4 linked regions of the Oryzias latipes genome follow. The protein of the gene in region 4 interacts with the protein of the main gene of each other region in a pairwise test. Links are inferred from orthologs where the notes say so. Each region holds a gene or a part of one and is shown on either strand. Other genes may lie near its edges.

What was found.
Region 1: the proteins of ngly1 (region 4) and gucd1 interact in binary tests that used the Homo sapiens proteins (3 or more experiments, as listed by UniProt). The two-hybrid records come from large-scale screens. The link is inferred for Oryzias latipes from reciprocal best matches to the Homo sapiens genes NGLY1 and GUCD1.
Region 2: the proteins of ngly1 (region 4) and trafd1 interact in binary tests that used the Homo sapiens proteins (3 or more experiments, as listed by UniProt). The two-hybrid records come from large-scale screens. The link is inferred for Oryzias latipes from reciprocal best matches to the Homo sapiens genes NGLY1 and TRAFD1.
Region 3: the proteins of ngly1 (region 4) and rad23b interact in binary tests that used the Homo sapiens proteins (3 or more experiments, as listed by UniProt). The two-hybrid records come from large-scale screens. The link is inferred for Oryzias latipes from reciprocal best matches to the Homo sapiens genes NGLY1 and RAD23B.

Annotation. Positions count from the first base shown.
Region 1 is NC_019867.2:25,327,078-25,331,946, forward strand, and holds the start of gucd1 (protein GUCD1), read left to right. Parts: upstream 1-1,579; 5' UTR 1,580-1,931; coding exon 1,932-1,938; intron 1,939-2,033; coding exon 2,034-2,118; intron 2,119-2,200; coding exon 2,201-2,366; intron 2,367-2,442; coding exon 2,443-2,534; intron 2,535-2,609; coding exon 2,610-2,851; intron 2,852-3,960; coding exon 3,961-4,052; 3' UTR 4,053-4,869.
Region 2 is NC_019867.2:12,247,600-12,252,422, forward strand, and holds the start of trafd1 (TRAF-type zinc finger domain-containing protein 1), read left to right. Parts: upstream 1-1,533; 5' UTR 1,534-1,745; intron 1,746-2,235; 5' UTR 2,236-2,249; coding exon 2,250-2,293; intron 2,294-2,385; coding exon 2,386-2,521; intron 2,522-3,498; coding exon 3,499-3,552; intron 3,553-3,712; coding exon 3,713-4,151; intron 4,152-4,297; coding exon 4,298-4,582; intron 4,583-4,655; coding exon 4,656-4,720; intron 4,721-4,823. UniProt on the Homo sapiens protein: Negative feedback regulator that controls excessive innate immune responses. Regulates both Toll-like receptor 4 (TLR4) and DDX58/RIG1-like helicases (RLH) pathways.
Region 3 is NC_019870.2:9,289,254-9,293,949, forward strand, and holds the start of rad23b (UV excision repair protein RAD23 homolog B), read left to right. Parts: upstream 1-1,406; 5' UTR 1,407-1,551; coding exon 1,552-1,617; intron 1,618-2,108; coding exon 2,109-2,190; intron 2,191-3,782; coding exon 3,783-3,862; intron 3,863-4,696. UniProt on the Homo sapiens protein: Multiubiquitin chain receptor involved in modulation of proteasomal degradation. Binds to polyubiquitin chains.
Region 4 is NC_019869.2:19,041,741-19,045,909, reverse strand, and holds part of ngly1 (peptide-N(4)-(N-acetyl-beta-glucosaminyl)asparagine amidase), read left to right. Parts: intron 1-1,844; coding exon 1,845-2,007; intron 2,008-2,080; coding exon 2,081-2,300; intron 2,301-3,723; coding exon 3,724-3,845; intron 3,846-4,169. UniProt on the Homo sapiens protein: Specifically deglycosylates the denatured form of N-linked glycoproteins in the cytoplasm and assists their proteasome-mediated degradation. Cleaves the beta-aspartyl-glucosamine (GlcNAc) of the glycan and the amide side chain of Asn, converting Asn to Asp.

The DNA of each region.
Region 1 (4,869 bases), on a different chromosome or scaffold from region 4:
ATGGCCAGTTCTGGACAGAAGAGCTTCTTAAAGGAGTGGTAACAGGTCTGTGAGGAACCGAATTCTTGCTTATTTGTAGGAGTTAATTTATCAATTCTTTCATTAAAATCCTACTATGTGATTTCCTCGATTGTTTCCCCGCATTCTGTGTCTTGTAGCTGAAGTTTACCTAACTCCTCATATTCTGCACTATTCTAAAAATAATTAAAAAAAATTGTGTGATTTCCTTGATTTTTACTTCTGTCTCACTCACTCTGAACTGTCAGCTGAGACAGTTCAGAGTGAGTGTGGCGTTTAAATTTTAGCATTCAAATACACACCTAGGCACAATTTCGAGTCATATATTAACCGGTTAAGCATGTTTTCGGGAAGAGGTCAAGAGTGCCCAGAGAAAACCTACACTTACACGGGGAGTACATGCAAACTTCACACAGGGAGGTCCCAGGGTCCCCTGGCTGTGAGGCAAGAGGCGCCAACCACTGTACCACTTTGCAGCCCGCTCTCTGTACAAAGCTGACAACAACATCACAACAAGTCCTGCTACAACGTTTAACTTTAATTTTGTGCTTGAAAAATATGCATAAAAGCATTTAAAGAAATAAACTAGGGGTGTAACGAGTAATTGACTTAATCAATGAATCGATTTATAGTACTACAATCCAACTGGATTGATCTGTCTGAGGGAAATTTTTAATCAAACCAACCTGAACATTATCAAGATGAAATAAGTCAATCATATCAATATTGGAAAATGCAGCACAGTATGTTTATTTTACTATTACAATAAAAAAACAAGTACATCACAGTGGACAACACACATGTGATGACAGTAAAAAACGATCAGTCCATCATTCCAGTCCAATGTATGGAAACACTTAAAATTTAACAAAGACATGTGACCATACAGTCTGGTAGAATGTTCCAATAATGTTCCCTTTGGATTATTTTGATGTGGAAAAACAACAGCAGGCTGAACTTTAGGAAACTAAAATGTAAATGGTTTTGACATGTATTCTTGTTTGTACACATACACATAATTTACAATTGCTTATCTTGCAAGAAACACAAGGTATCTGGAAAGCTTCACCTGCACTGTTCAGTACCAGCTATTTATCTCTGAATTACACTGGTGGATTTTTGGCTAAATATGTCCCAGATCGATTTTCAGTTATTCAAATCCAGTCGGATCCTTACAATCGAACCAAAATCGAGAGGGAATCTAACCAGCAACCACAAATTATGATATGGATGAATTGTTAAAATGAATTGGTACAAAAACATGGAAATGTGTCGACAGGTTCCAAAGAGGACACGAGAACTTTGAAGAAGGGTAGAAATAGCTTATAGATAAAGATGTTTCTACTTTTCTTTAATGACTTCTTTGACTATCTCTGTCTGTCTGTCTGTCTGTCTGTCTGTCTGTCTGTCTGTCTGTCTGTCTCTCTGTCTCTCTGTCTCTCTGTCTCTCTCTCTCGCTCTGTCTGTCTGTCTCTCTCTCTCTCGCTCTGTCTGTCTGTCTCTCTCTCTCTCTGTCTAACATTGCATTAAATTGCCTTGAGTGAGTCCTCCACACCGCACGGGGGCAGTAGAGCAACAAGCTTGCTAAACACGACGCTTCTCCGTGGGCAGTGTTGGGCCACTAGCAAACAACTGAAAAAGTGAGGAAGACGGTGAAGGCGCTGGCAGGACAATAACAGCGGAGTCTGTTTTTTGGAAATCCTTTTTATATTTTTGCCATGTATTGTACTTGTCAATAATCGTATGTTTGGCGGGGCTGTGTCCAAACGCGCCGTTTTCACCGTGTACCCGGCATATTTCCTCTTTAGTTGGCATAGATGAGGAAAGGCAGCCCCGCCTGCAGGGGGGGGAAACAGGACCATCGAGTTTGCTTCGAGTTAGCAAGCCGTCCTTAAAAGACTGAGCGCAGCAGAATGACAGGTACGAAATGCGACACATCCATTTAACCCGGGTTAAATCTTCCCATTCACACACACAGCAGCAGTCTTTACGCGATGTTTGGTTCTCTCACTCAGAGGATGCCATCCTGCTGAGTGTTCCTGTCATCCGGCAGCTCTACCACTGGGACTGTGGCTTAGCCTGCTCCAGAATGGTCCTAAAGTAAGTTCACCTCTGACCTTTCACCAAGAATCAGTAACAGTAAGACCACCTTAAAACAAGACCATGACCACGTGGACTGCAGGTACCTCCACCCTTTGAGTGATGAGGAGTTTCAGAGAGCATGCTGGGAACTGAAGCTCACAGAGAGCGTGTGGACCATTGACCTGGCCTACCTCATGAGCCATCTAGGAATCAAACACTGCTTCTACACACAGACTCTTGGAGTGGATAAAGGCTTTAAAAACCAGGTACTTCTCCGAGTCTCTGCTGTTTGAGAACACTCCTGGAAGTTCTGATTATCATGCTGTTTACTTTGTGTTGCAGTCCTTTTATAAAAAGCATTTTGACACAGAGGAAGACCGAGTGAACGAACTCTTCCTAAAGGCGGAAAGCAAAGGTGTGATTGTCAGGAAGTGGTGAGTTTCAGCTCATTCCCCCGCATGTTTGCTGCCTTGTGGAGGTCATGTCTAACGTGTGCCATCCTCCCACAGTTCAGTGACGGTTCAGCAGATCCAGTCGCACCTGGAGCAGGGCCACGTCGCCATAGTGCTGGTCAACGCCGTGATCCTGACCTGTGAGCTGTGCTCCTCTCCTGTCAAGTACTGCTGCTTCCTGCCCGTGGGCCAGAAGTGTTTCTGCAGGAAGCCGGAGTACCAGGGTCACTTTGTGGTTTTATGTGGTTTCAACAAGACAGCTGGCAGCATCTTTTACAACAACCCTGCTTATTCTGACCGTAAGTTTAAAAAGCTCTTCTGTCCAAAAAGACATGTATCTTGATCATTTTCACCCATGCTGGTTGAGAAGAGCTGCACATTTAAGTTCATTTTAGTTACAAAGGGTGCATAAGTAGCATTTTTAAAATGCATGTGTCCATTATGTCATAAAGTCCCACTCCAAACATCTTGTGATCTATTTTAAAAGCGTTCCCGGTGATCTTTTAACCATGATTGTGCAATTTATAGCCCAAATCAAAAAACCTGTATCAATTTTTAGAACATAGTTTCTGCAGAGCGACAGGAGTTCAATAAAAACTCACCTCTGAGTTGTCAGTACGACCGTTGGCCAACCCCGCCCTCTTCACATCACCCATAACTGAGGGCTCTGTTAACACGCTCTCCTGCTAGCTTATAGCCGCTCACACCCCCAACTTAAATGGCGAGCAATATTGGAGTTATATCCAGCCATACTGTTTTGAGCCAGATGCCAGCTCAGACGAGGAGAACAAAGACAAACATGGATCTATGTGTCTGCAAGTGGATGCATCAGAATGGAGCGGAGCAGGTAGTCTGTGGTCCGCCCAGTGAACAAATACAATCTTTATCAAACAGAAAATTTTTTTTTAGTCTGCTCCTGATTCACAATTTAAATGAAGAAATTGTCAGACATGCAACTTTAAGCTTATGTTCAGAAAAATGCCATAAGAACTTGCAAAACCACCAAAAACCTCGTTTTCATTAGTGAGTCTTTAAGCAGATTCATGGCTTTTTTTGAACAATGAACTAAAATGCTCCAATAGCAACAATTAGATTTAGAATGATTTTTGTTTTGATTTACCTCTTAAGTTCCATCTACAGAATTTAAATTCTGTCATTTCTTATTTGCAACTTTTTGTTTGATGTCTGTTTGTATTCTCTGAAACTTTCAACTGTAAATTTTTGATTTACTCAGGTTTTTTTTCTCGTGAATTCCCCAAAATTTTCAGTTTACAGATGCTGTCTAAAAGGTCAGACTTTGAATCTTTGGACTGCTTCAGACCGGCTGAACCAGCAACCTTTTTTTTTTTTTCTTTCGTCTGTGGAGTTCTGATGGAAGCATTTCAGGAAAACATGTTTTTTCTTCCAGGTGTGTGCTGCACCAGTGTCAGTAACTTCGAGGAGGCCCGGCAGAGCTATGGAACAGACGAGGACATCCTCTTCATCTACAAGGAGAGTTGATGGACGCCAAAGGAGGATGCCATCGTTTTTTGTGTCATGGTGACGCTGCAGGTCTGCCCTCTAGTGGCTCAACATCTCCTCCTTCGTTTGTAAATAAAGACACGTCTGACCGAACGTCTGAGGACGTCCCAGCTCGAAGGGCAACTTGATTTCAAGGGGATGGTCTTCGACCAATGGGACGGTCCAGTTTGTTTTTATTTTTAAAGACTTTGATTCCGGGAGTCGACTTCTAATCTGGTGAAAATGTGGGGAACCTGGAATATGACTTAACAGGAAGTAACGTGCAGATAATTTAGGGTTTCTATTGAAAACATGCAGCATTGTGTGCCGGCTGTGTTTGATGTGAAGCTGCTCAGTCCTCCACATGCCTTCAAAAGCCTCCACGGCATCGAGGAAGAGGAGTCCACAAACGGAGGAAAACGGTTAACAGGTGTTTTTGCGAGTCTCAGGTAAACAGTAAAGCAAACAGCAGCGCTTCGTCAATGCAACAATCACTACAGTGATAAATCCCAAGAAGATATTCGTTCAGAGCAAACTGCTTGCTGTGTTTGTTCCATCGCCATGGTAACGCACAGTAAAAAAACAGTGTTGTGCTGGTCCAGCTGTCAACATCAGGTCATATCCTCACCGTCTCAACTTCATTTTTTGGTTTAAAAAAAAGGCTAATGTCTGTTTTTTGCACTACAATTTTCATACAAAACACAATAGTGTTATTTAAAGAAAAACATGCTTTTCTAGATCTATAAAATGTCGACTTCCTCTAGCTCTGCTTTCTGCTGGAAAACAAACGGCACATTTGAAACCTTTCCTTTTTAAA
Region 2 (4,823 bases), on a different chromosome or scaffold from region 4:
AACCCTGCTTCCTTTTTCATGACTTGAAATATAGTGTTTGAGTTGTTTAAGCATTTTATAGTTATTGATTATAACTATAGAGACTATAGAGTTACAACGAATGACCAAATGTCCTCCTTACGTACAAGGAAGTGCAACAGGAAGGCTTTCAAAAAAGGTAGTAAGCTTGTAAGAGCACAAAAACGAAGGTAGGCGGAAATCTGAACAGGAGTTTAGTGTATAAACCTACAAGATAAATCTACTTTTATGGTTCTTGTAATATTTCCACGCTTCACAATTCAATATAAAGAGATGCAGCGAGTCATCAACAACAAGAAGGCCACAAATAAGGCAGGGAGTAGCTGTTTTGATTTAGCTTCACAATATTGTTTTGCACATTTTCTAAAAATGCTAAAATATGAGACAGCATACAAAGTTACATTTGTCTTTTTTTTCCATTTTTTTTTAGTTCATATCAGCAGCTTATAATGCCTCTTTGACGGAGATATAGAGGGGATCGATATGGTAGAAACAATCATGCAAACAGAATGATCAGTAATGTCGTTTTATTTGATTTCTACGGTGATGATTCATTGTGTACAGACACACGTTTGTCCCTGTGCAGCTAATGCTCTTGCCGAATGTTTTCCAGAGTGTGATCTGCAAAAGTTGGACCTAAACTTTTATCAGAGAATTATTTTGCTAATGGATTAAATGCATCACAAAGAACTAAGACGTGGGCTTCATCATGCATTCTTTAGAGAAAGTGTTTTTTAAACCTAAACATGGACGGCAAAACTAACAGTTTGAGCACATGTTTAAATCGTTTTCTTCTTTTAGGGCACTAGTTAAAATCTCAAGTATTCTTTCTTTTTACAGAATATTCAAAAGGTTTGTCATTTACTCAGTTTTCTTTTATTCTGTATTTCTTTTTACAGCATGTTTTAAATGTTCTGTTACATCTTATTATCAAATTGTAAAGTGGTGACTTTACCTCTGAAATCTTGCAAGAAAAAGGGCTTGGAAGCAAATTTCCATTGTTTTTACAATATTTGTCTTGTCTTTGAGTTGAAGTTTGTAGGATTTCTACAACACATTCAAATATTTGCTGTACATATAATCAGTGTTTTATCTTAACAGAACTGTGCCTTACAATAAATTGTCCGACATGACATTATTGGTGAATCAAAATTTCAATAAAACATATTAGACAATACAGTGGGGAATCATGTCTTTTAAAATTCATGTCATGTTTTTCTTTCTCGTAGTTCTATGCAATGTCTATCAACATTATATATAATACATAATAGTAAACTCCATAAAAGTGTAAATTTTGAGAATTTGACTCAAGAATGCACCATTTAAAATTAATTTGTAGCGGAAAAACACGAATAAAAAAAAAGCATATTGAAGATACTTGCGATGTTGGATGTAGGATAAAGCATTACGCAGGATCTTTAAATCACCAATCAATTTTGAGTATTCACCTTGTGTTAATTTATGCCCTGACTTGTGTCTTGCGGGAAAAAAAAACCTTTAGATTTTGGTTACAGCTTTGTGTTACTCATAAAACCGATGACTCGTTTACTCTGTGATTGAGAGCGAGAATACGTGTAAACCGTATTTAGACATTCTGAAAAAGTCTGTGCCTGTAAGCCTTTACCCGGGGAGGAGATTAGGAGGGAGAAGGCCAGACGAAGGAAGAGGAAATGACAGTTTAGACTGGTTTTCATCTTTATCAAGTGAAAATATCCAACTGACAAAAGGTAAAATAAGAAACTACTATTATGAATTTTCGTTATACACAAAATCTATCGTAACATTAGCTGTATGACGAGATGTTCGTAAACTGTAGATGGATTTAGTTAGGTAATCATAATGCTACGCTAGCTAGCCCAATACAGACAAAACATTGTATTTTCTATTTAACTCAAGTCGTCCAAACCCCATTTTTGGTTAAGGTTCGTGTTCGGTGTTCTTCGGAATAAAATATTTACTGTCTTCCTGTAAACCATAAGAAGGGCTAAGTGAAACGGTTCTCGATTGGTTTCATTTTTTCCAAAACGATAGCCGCTCTTTAAACAAACCCTAAGCCTAGCCTAGCCCTATGATATAATAACAAAATGTTATAACTTATACGGTTACAGCTACACTACTAAAATAAATGTTAAAACCCAGAAGAAGATAAAATGTCCAGCTCGTTGGAGCAAAGATGAATGTCCCTTTCTGTTTTATGTTTATGGCTATTTGTTAAAGGTTTTTCTGAAGTCATGATGGCAGACGACGAAAACACCATCATGTATTGTGGCAACTGGTAAGTATGAATTTATTGTGACGCGAGTTTCTAATGCAGTTCTTCTTGGTGGCTAGCAGCCCCTTCTATTGTTGTTGTTTTTTGTTTTTAAGTAAACGTGACATCCCAGAGGCCAATTTCACCACCCACGAGATTCACTGTCGCAGAAACATAGCACTGTGTGACGTGTGCCAGGAGCCCGTACCCCGATCCGACCTCGAGGAGCACAAGCTGCAAGAACACACGGAGGTAGATATCTGAACTTAACACCAGCATGTACACGGATGCGGGGCCATTGGCTCTTTATCCAGTGATTTTGGGGAGGATCTTCCAGATGAAGCGCGATTGGGATGGTCATTTCCCCCTGATTCTAATGGGACTTTGAAAATATTGAGTGTCATCCAAAGTCTAAAATAATAGGGAGGGTGGGGCAATGCATTTCATTCAGGTAAACTTACCACTGTGCTGCAGGTAAATCCTCATAAATCCACTAATTGTAACTTTAAGATGCACTCAAATGAAAATCGTACTTTAAACACGTTCCTGTAGGATTTTTCTCTTGATGGATGACACATATAAATAAAATTAAGCTTAAAACTGCCTTTCTGGGTATTTTTCTTTATTCAAATCCTTGCGAATCAGGAGCAGAAAAAAAAAGGCTTGTTGTAATGTAGGACCTACTGCAGCAAGCCACCAGCTCCATGCTCTGCTCCATTCCGATGCATCCACATGTAGACACACAGATCCACGTATGTCTTTGTTTTCCTCGTCCAAGGTTGGCATTTGGGTCAAAACAGCTGGATGGCTCCAATATTGCTGGCCATTTTTGTTCCACCAGTAATGTTAGGTTGGATGTGTGAGGGCTAATAGCTTTTAAACAGATGGCTTATATACGGAAGTGGGGGCTGACTTGTTCTGCCGCAGAATTCCTTCATCAACTCAGAAGCAAATTTCGAATGCACTACTACAGAAACTACGTCCTAGAAAAAATAATAAATAAATAATTTTCGATTTTGGCTAAAAATTACATGCTTATAACTATAAGGCCACTGAAAACACTTCTGAAATAGATCAAAAGATGATTGAAGCGGGACTTTAAGCTTAAATTTTGAAACAGATATTTTCCGCTGCACCCACCAATGATATCAACTAAAGTTTGCTCTTAGAGAAATTATTGCAAAGTGAAACTCTTTAAAGTTTTCAATGTAAACTCCTTTTTTTTCCAGATTACATGCAAATGTGGAATGAAAGTTGAGAAAAATCATGTCGATGTTCATCAGGTATGGTCAGGAACAAAGATGCCTTTTTATCCATGCAAAGAATAACCAATGAATAATATGCAAATTCTTGTCTAAAAAGACTGTTTTGAGTAAAAGTACAGAATATTTTTCAGCTATGTTGTTATTTTATTTAAATGTTCCTGTTATTTGTTTCTTGCAGAATTCTGAATGCCCACAGCGACTGGTGTCCTGCCCGTACTGTGATCTGGAGCTTGCTTTTTCTCAGTCTAAGGAGCATGAGGACTATTGTGGTACACGGACTGAGCCTTGTCCACTCTGCAAGTGCAATGTGATGCTGCGTGAACAGGTTGTACATCCAGCCTTATGTGGAAGCCTCACACCACCTCAAGAGAAGAACAACAGCAGGATGAGCCGCACCGCAGCAGAGCGAGAGTCTTCCGATGCATGGTTTGAAGCTCACTCCATTCGAAACCTCCTCAGACCCCAAGAAAGGAGTCCGAAAAATAATAACATTGGTGCGTCAGCTCAACAGTCCTTTCCTCCTGCATTTAATCCTTCAATGTTCAACACAGCGAGAGAAACGCAGGCTTCAAGAGACTGGAAGAATGCTGCACCTCAAAACACAGGGTTTAGCCACTGTGAGTGCAATGTTTGCTTTATGTGTCGTGAGATGAGGCCATCAACATTATGTCTAGAACATTTAATTTAGATATTGAACTCATTCTTGCACTAGTAAAATCTGATTTCCTAAAATGGATGGGATAACATTTTCGGTTAATTGTAGGTCACAGTGATTTCCTGCATGGAAGCAGCAACAATGCCAAATCACACAGTGAGAGTCCATCAGACGAGGATTCCCCCGGCCTGGACTACATGTTGGCTCTCAGCCTGCAGGGGGATGGAGGACCAGGGGCAGGTGTGGAAGGCAACATGTGGAGCGACATCTGGGACCACAACATAGGGAAGTCTAACACATCAGCAAACCCTTCCTTTTCTCTTCCCAACAACAATTACTCCAACTTCAGTGGAGGAACGGTCACAAGCGCAGTCCGGGACTATGACCAAACAGGTTAGATCCGAGTATACCAGAACTTTTCTCATTGCTCTGCTGTTTGTTTCTCACAAAAACTTTTGTTTTGTAGATACCATGTTGCCTTGTGAGTTTTGTGAGGAGCTGTTTCCTGAAGATGACCTCATTTTGCATCAGGTTTGTGAATGTGTCTGGATGCATTTTTGACATTGCCATTTTTGTATTAAACCACTAACTTGTGGAGTTTTTAATCAAGTAAAAAGCTTGTTTTTAGTCCTGA
Region 3 (4,696 bases), on a different chromosome or scaffold from region 4:
CAAAATGTCTTTCTGAAGGCCTCAATGAGTCAAAGCAGCAAAGATCTGGCTGTTTGATGCAACCCTTCAACAGAATTTCTTGTTGTCTTAAAGTAAAAAAAAAAAGATTTCTACTCAGGCACAACATCAAAACCACCTTCCTGATTTGGAGCTCCTCTCATGTTACAAAAATAGCTCAGACTTATTGGGCCGTAGACGAGACTTCTCAAGGTTTCTCCTGGCGTCACGCTCCTCGACAAGAGCTGCAGATCCTGTGGGTGGTGGTAGTGGGTGGGTGGGGGGATCCAGGCCTCCATCACACTCCTGTGTCTTAGCCTCCCATGGAGGCTCACGAATAACGTAGACAACACCTGTAACCCTTGTGCTATCCTAGGCACTTTACTATTGGGAGTTGGGTCATCTAGACCCACTAGACAGTGCTCTGAACCTTTTTTCTTCAGTGATTTGTGATCTTCACTGGTGTCCATGGATTACATGAAATCTTTCCACCTTTATCCACCTTTGTCATGGTAGGGAGAACACGTCAATGTAAGGGTGGGGTCATCTAAGATAGCACAAGGGTTAAATCTCACAGTGTGATGATAAGCACCATAACTTTATGATCCACCAAATGTTTCCTAAACATTTGTTTACAACACTGTGGGTTGCGTTTAGGGGCGTATAGATTAATCGGCTTAAGCCATGAATCAATTTTTATTCCCACGACCTACCAGATCAATCGGTTTGAGCCAAGTTGTTATTCAAATTATAGAATCATTTTAAAAATAACTAAATTGATTATTTCGATATTTGCAAATACCATTTGGATTGAGGCACGGTAGGTTTCCAAGAGGAAACCTGTGTATGCACAGGGAGAACATACAAAATCCACACAGCAAGGTTCCAGCAGGGATTTGAACCTCTCCCAGTGGGGCAAGAGTGCTAACCACTATACAATTGTGCAGCCTACACCATTTAATACGTGAATTTAAAAAATAATTTAGTGTCAAAGTGCTAATTATTTGCTCCAATATTTGTGCTGTATATATTTTTTTTATTGTTATTGTTATGCTATTTTACTTTTTAAATCCTATTTAATTTAATTTTGTTTAAACAGCTGTGTGTTTAATGTTTAAATGACATGAAATCTGTGGTATTACTTTTCAGTATTACTTACTTATTCAGAGTGTTAGGAAAAAATAACATTCTGTTTTGATTAATTTTTATGTGAAAATGTGTATATATATTGAAAAAAACATATAGAATATAATGAAGAAAAATATATATAGAATATCCTCCACAATCAAATCAATTTAACCGTGGTGGGACCAACTGATTTGGATTTATTGTCCAGCAGATTATTTGATTAAGTTCAACGTGTAGCCACCAGGGGCGCTAGTGTGTTTTTTCATGAGGGGGGGGGGTTACCCGGTTTTACCGCCACAGAAGAAGAGAACCGAAAAATCATGGCGGCTGACAGTTTGTAATGAGCCAACGGAAAAAAGCGATTTCTTTCAAGTTAGATTTACAGATTTTTTTAAAATTGGAGCCAGAAGTAAACCGACCTACAACATGCTGATAACTTTAAAGACTTTGCAACAGCAGACCTTCAAAATCGACATCGATGAGGAAGAAACGGTGAGAAATATGCGCGAGCGGGAGTTGTTTATGTGGAGCAACTAAAACAGCAGTAAATGTTTTTTTGTTTGTTTTTGTTAAAAACATATTGACTAGAGTCATTACGCTAGCAAAATAATACTCTTTTGATTTAAAATAACATACAAAAACTCAGGCAAAATGTTGTTGTCTGTGCTTAAATGTAATGACGATAGTAAAGTTGTTTCTATTTACACGCCAGCCTTCGCACTGTTCCTAAACATTTATGACAGAGATCTTTTACTCCGAACTTTTACTTTCGATAAACTTTAAGGACATGCGCGTTATTCCTCTAAATCTGTTGCTAACAGCTAAGATTCAATGGTTGATGTCTGTAGCTAGATTTTAGAGGAGGTTTCCTTCTTAACAACAGAAACTTGGACCTTATGGCTCCAGAAGTGCTGAGTCATCTCACTGTGTGTATTGTTGTTTACTGCTAGTCATTGTTGTCAGTGTTGTTGTTTCTTCTGCAGGTGAAGACGTTAAAGGAGAGGATTGAGCAGGAAAAGGGGAAGGAGAGCTTTTCAGTGGCCGGGCAGAAGCTGATCTACGCCGGTATGATGGGTCCCTCCCTGCCTCTTTCTTCCTCTGAGTACTCACGTGATGTTTAGACCGGTTCTGATCAGTTTGCATCCATAGTCCTGGCAGGTTAAGATCCGGAAAGATCTGTACTCTTTGATTTGCCTAAAAGTTTTTTTTGTATATTTCTCTGCATATTTGACACAAAATTGCTTCAGATCTTAAACTGTCGGGTCTATAAAGTCCAGAAATCTAGAATTTTCAGCCTAAAATATTTAAAAATGCATTTAATTTGATGTCATTTGTCTTAAATTATGTATTTCTTTGCTGTGTTGTTTAATAGTGACCACAAGAATGATGATACGCTGCAAACACACTTTTGTTGACACACAAGTACTTTTTGGTACATAAAGTTTCACCAAAACCCATAAAATAGTTATTTTAGGTTCTGTTCCTCAATATTTTAAATGTGTCTTAAAGCGAACTGTGCTTTTATTTTGACATGCATGTTACAGCCTCAAAGACGCTGAAAAGAAACTTTAAAAAGACTACAAATTGATTGCTGACGTTATGTAAAATGATTGATTTAAGGCGATGACGATGTCTGCTGCTTCTGTTTGTATTCTAGAAGAATAGTTTTTTTGTCAATGTGGGCAAAAAAGTGTTAAAATTCTGACTGTCGTTACAAACATAGTTTAGTTTTGACTTCAGAATAAAATAAAATCGCTAGATACCTGCACTTTATGTTTTACATCAGGGTGAAGGGATCCAACTGGATCCTATGTTAGGCTAACCCGGGTCCGGCAAATTCTATGTTCAAATCAGCTTCACCCAGGAAGCATTGAATCAAATCGAACATTATTTAGAAAGTGCTTTTCCTACAAGTGCTTTACATTAAAGAAAAACCAAATAAATAATATAAAAACAAGCACGAAAATTAAAATAGAACCCCCTCCCCAGACCTACACACAGCCCCCTCCCCCCCTAACTGATGGGGATCGACAATGGGAAACAGGCTTGCGCGTCTGTGCACATTTGGACTCCAAGTTGAGTACAGAAATCATTGTGTCACCTTTAGAGCTCACATGAGCACAAAAAAAGCACCAAAACGTAAAGCTTCCACACCAATCCTTTCCAAAAAATACAGTTTTCCCATGATTCATTGGTGAGAAGACAGATGGAGGTTAGCGAACCACTTCTGTAGCTTCTTATGCTTTTAAAAGAACTTTCTTGATTCGATTGATGCATTTGTGGCTCAGTAGTTGCTTGTTTTTCAGCCTCATTTGATCCAAATCATCAACAGAACGGGACTGGGCTTCAATTTACTGCTTTATGCCGGATTATTATGGGTTTTTTTAAGTCAATGATTGACAGATGTGTTTATGCTTTTCTGCTTTAATGGGTAGAGCGCTGCAGTTGAAGTGAATATCATGAAAAATAGGAGTCAACAAAAGATTTTGGTTGAGAATAAAGATAAATGCTTAGAAATTAACTTTTAAAAACAGATTTTGTGTAAATGACCATCATTTGTGTGACCGGCACAGATCCTCGTTTTCTAGTTTTCAGAGCGAGTAAAACCCAGACGGATGTCGTCCATCCCTCAGAAATCCTTTTCTGCTTCTTTCCAGGAAAAATCCTCAGCGACGACACGGCCCTCAAAGAATACAAAATCGATGAGAAGAACTTTGTGGTCGTCATGGTGACAAAGGTCGGTGAATTACAAACCGCTGGTGAATTGCAAGCTTGCTTGGAACCTTTATATCCCTCCGTTTTGTTCCTTTATTCGTAAGCGAATCCCTTTGGTGACTTTCTCCTCTTTTTTTTCACACCGTGTCTGAGTGTCAACCGCCTCTGCTGGTGTGCGGGGCTGCACACCTGTCTGATGCTGAGCTCCTAAAACCTCCACAAAAGCAACTTTCTTTAATTCACCCCCTAAAATATCAAAGATTGGAATAATTTCACTAAAAGCAGAGGTGGTCTTATGTCATCACACTTGTTTAGAAGTTCCTCTATGCTTTTATTTTGGCGGGTGGAATTGAAGGGGAGGAATACAATTTGGAGATTCAAACTTTTGTTTTTTAAGATCATTTTTTTGTTTTAGCTGCTGTGCTTTCATGCGGACAGATGCTAACAGATTTCAGATCTGTTAAAAGAAACAAAATTCACTTCCTGTTTTAGGATGGAGTCTCATTTAGCGGTATTGTGTGTGTGTTTTTTTGTTCCAATCGTGATTGTAACTTATAGCGAATCTCGATGCAGAGCAGCCGTTTTTTTCCTTTGCTGCTGAGGGGATGTGGGAGGGCAGCACCCACCGCTACAAAAAAAAAAGAAAAGGCGACAACTTTATTTTAGCTGCCAAAAGACAAGTTTAAATCTTTATTCTAAACACAATAATGCAAAAAGGATGGGAAGAAATTTAATATCAATAAAATGTTTGAGGCTGCACAGCAAGTTTATGAAAAACCATTAAGTTCTCATTATTATTCAGACAAAAATAAGCAAGAATGCAGATTGGTTTTATTTTGAAACTTTGTCAAGGGAT
Region 4 (4,169 bases):
AAACATAACTAAATAAAAAATGCAACTGTGTTCTGGTGTGACACTTTCTGTGGTTTTGTTCAGTGTTCTAGAGTGGTCTGGAGTGGTTTTGGTGCCCTGAGTCCTAAAGCGCCGCCCTGACGGGAAAAGGCCGTCAAAGCTGCATGAGAGGCGTTGTCCCTTAACAGCAGAGGACTAGTTTACATCAGTACCAGGGAAAAGTTTCCTGAAACTTTTGTTAACTACTTAAATGTGCCAAAATCAGCAGAAAAAAACAGTTTTAGGAGCCTATCACGGGCTTCAAGGTGCTAGACAGGCCTAAACTGTCCCCTTTTGGATCCATAAGGTCTGACAGAGCAGTAGGCAGAACGCAGATGCTTTGTGCTTATTTGCTCTTGTCTTTCTTTGACCTGATGGGGGCAGGCTTGAGCTCGCCTGACTCAGTCAGTGTGAATGTTGCATCGCTAGCTCGCATGTCTGTAACTCCTCGCAGTCAGTCGGAAGCCAGGCAAGCTTCTGTCAGTGGGGGCTCATCTTTTGGAGAGCGGGTGTCCAGCTGTGAGTGAATTCTTACTCACTCAGTATGTGTACACTTTGTGTGCTGTTGACTGTGTGATGGGACTTCCTGTTGTGTGAGTGTCTAAGTTTGTCGTTCCTTTTGATGGGAAAGATAGTTCAGCCGTGTAGGTGTGGGATACTGTTTGAAGACTCATCGTGTAGGTGAGGATGCCAACTGTGGACTTGATCTTTTGATTGTTCTGGAAAAATAAACATACTTTAACCATTTTGAGGAGCTTTAACATTCAGGACAGCTGCTCTTAGGGAATGTTTTTGCTTTCATTCAAATTTAAGATAGAAAATCACTCTGAAATGGGTATGTGGAAACTTGATTGACATGTAATCGTCCAATTGAGGCTCTGAAACGGCCTTAGTGGGTGTGTTCCAACAACTGACATACCTGTCTGTTGAAAGGAAGTGTTCATTGTAGAGTAGTGCTGGGAGAACAGGTTTTAAGGTGAAATCAACAAGTGACGTGACGACAAGCTGCATCCATCAGATATGTCCTTCAGTCTTGATGCAGACAGAATAGCTATGGAGGGATATTTTTCTGTTCTCCCTGTTCCAAAAGGAAACCCAGAAGTTCCAACTGTTGCAGTTCCTCTAACCACCACTGGTAGCTGGTTTCAAAAGAGATACATTCTTAAACAAACTAGATAATCCAACTTTGCGCTTGGAAAACGTAGCGCTTGTTTGAAAAATAATTTAATGTTTATAAAATTGTATGTTTCTTTACAACAGCTCTATATTTTTAACTTGTTGGTCTGATCAGAATCAGTGTATTAGATTACACAGACTTTGGCCTACAGGTACAGCAGTCAGTCTCTGACTTAAGACTCGTCGGTTCGCTCTGGTCGCCTTCCTCTGTTAATGTGTCCCTAGAAAAGACTCTGAGCCCCACATATCTCCCGGTGGCTCGGTGACTCTAAAGTGCTTAGGACCTTCTAAGAAGGGAGGGAGGGGGGGTAAAACACTATTATATAAGTATATTTCTGTATGTCTATGGCTCTAGACCAAGAGTAAAACCTTTCACTCCAAACACTTAGTGAAGCATTACAGTTTCTGAACAGGATCATTTCTAGTTGAAACAGATTCAGAACTACCGGTAATTCACTTTGCATAAACTTTCAATTTTTCCCCTTCTCTGCCATGAATTGACAGTGGTGTTCAGACTGGTAATTTCTGGGGGCATCATATTTGCATTGACTGAGTGGATCACTCTCTGCATCACTGAGCAGCAGCACATTTTGTTCAATTTATGATGATGGTCCTCTAAGCTGTGCTCTCTGATCTGCTTTGCTTCCCAGGAGAGCAGCATGAGCTTCTTCCTGATCCTTCAGTCCAACTTTCAGCACGTGCTGCAGTATGAGAGCCCAGAGCTGCAGCAGAAAGCTCTCAGTGTGATTCCTCAGCAGAAGCTGTCGGACGCTGCCGGGCTCGGGCTGAACCAGGCCAGAGAGGCCGACCCAGGTGAGACATTGGCCGTTCACAGGAGCCGCTCATACACATAGGTAGCTGGTGAACGCAGCTTGTGTGTCTTCAGGATGCAAGCTGGGAACAGAAGACTTCTTGGTACTGGAGCTGCTTCGCTGGTTCAAACAGAGCTTCTTCTCCTGGGTGAACTGTCTGCCTTGCAGCCACTGTGGAGGCCCCACCCAGAACGCTGGCTCCCTCAGCCCCACCACCGACGACCTCCACTGGGGAGCTCAGCGAGTGGAAAATCATTTCTGCCAGAGCTGTCGGCTCTCCACCAGATTCCCCAGGTGGGTCCATATTCCTTGACTTGGAAGACAAAGTTGGGTGATATCTTAGTCTTTCGTGGCTTTGTTCTACTGGGAGAAAAAAAAAGAGCTCCCAGGTATTATCAAATGATGTATAAAGCATCTGTAGGAAGCAGTATCGGCTTGTGTTGCTGGAGAATTTAAATGTTCGCCTCAGCTGCTGTTTCCTGGAAACCTGTGACATGCTGCTCAGGCCACACCCACAACATTGCAACAACAGAACCAAGTCCAAAGCGGATTAGAGCTGACGGAAGATGTTACAAACTGAGACCAGGGGCTGCATTTATAAACGTTGCGTACGCACAAAAGAAGGCGTACGCCACTCTCTACGCAATAGTTGAGATTTATAAAAAGCAAACTTGACGGGAAAATTTGCGGTCCTTCACGCAAGCTCTGACCCAGGCGTACGCACAAAAACGGGTGAAATGAGAAACGGCGACACCGTCGGCAGATGGAAGAAACACGTGAAAGTGAAAATGACAATACTGCCTCTCAGAAATAACATGAAGACTTCACAAAACAAGTCTTACAATTAACAGCCTACACGAAGACCCGTTTGATCGATCAGCAGTGAAACAAAAAAAAAAAAAACGAAAATTACAACAGAAATTCAAATGAACACATATTTGCAGAAAGAAAAGTGAAATATGTTCCACAATATTGGCATGTTGTGCAATTCATCCTCATAAATAATATAGTTAACAGAACGAAATAATGTACAAAACTGATATTCCCGTCAATGTGTCCGTCTGGCGGAGCAGATATAGGTGCGGGCGTGCGGACGGACGGACGGACAGACGCACTAATTGTCCACTGGGGAAAGTTGTTTTCATATTAAAACATTTCTTCATAAACTATGGAATTATGGTATTCATGAATATGCCTTTAGTTTGTTTTATTTTTGATAAAACAATGTATGGCGTATGTCTCGACCATTCAGAAAGCAACAAGAAATTACATTTGCGCTGAACAATTTCCCATTTCCACGTCGATTATTACCGACATTTGTAGCTTGTCAGATGCAATTAAATGGAGGGAAATAAAATGCCCCATCACAATGCGTAATGACGCACAATGGCTGATCTTGCGCTCTTAGAAGATGTGGCAAATGGAAGAATTCGGAGTGAACGCATCTTTAGACAGCAAGAAGACGTGCTGGCAAACGAGGACGAGTGGTTTAGGAGCCGGTTCCGACTTCCTCGAGCCGTCCTGTTGGTGCTTTTGGGGGTGTGTCACCCGGTGCATCTGGCGCGTCGTGTCCCCCTGCGCGTCAGTCACCACTCCACTTAAGGGATTCCCCAATTATTGCCGCCAGTCTGTCATCAAGAGGGGTCAGCTCCGGTGTTTTATAAATGAGGCCCCAGGTGTTTTCTTCATCCTGCTGATTGTTTCTTCTCAACTTCAGATACAACAACCCTGAGAAGCTGCTGCAGACCAGGAGAGGGCGCTGTGGAGAGTGGGCAAACTGCTTCACGTTGTGCTGCAGAGCCATGGGTCTAGAGGCCAGGTACATCTGGGACAGCACAGGTACGCCTGAGATCGGTCTGCGTGAGTCTCTGTAAAACCTGATCTTTGTAGGAAGGCCTGGTTGCCAGGGAAACCAGTTTTCTTTGTTGCTCAGTTCTGGGATAACGCAATAACACCTTGATGTACAGTTGGACGCTTTATTCCAGCTAAGAAAGTGTGGCCTTATTCAGATAATCTGCTCAGAGCTATAGAATAACAATTTTAGTTAACTAGCTTAGTTTGATAATTTGTGATCCTTTTTATCACTGTGTGTTGATCTGTACTTTTTAAATGAACTGGTTGAAAATGGAATTTTAGGTAAATTTGAACTTTCTCTGGGGACCT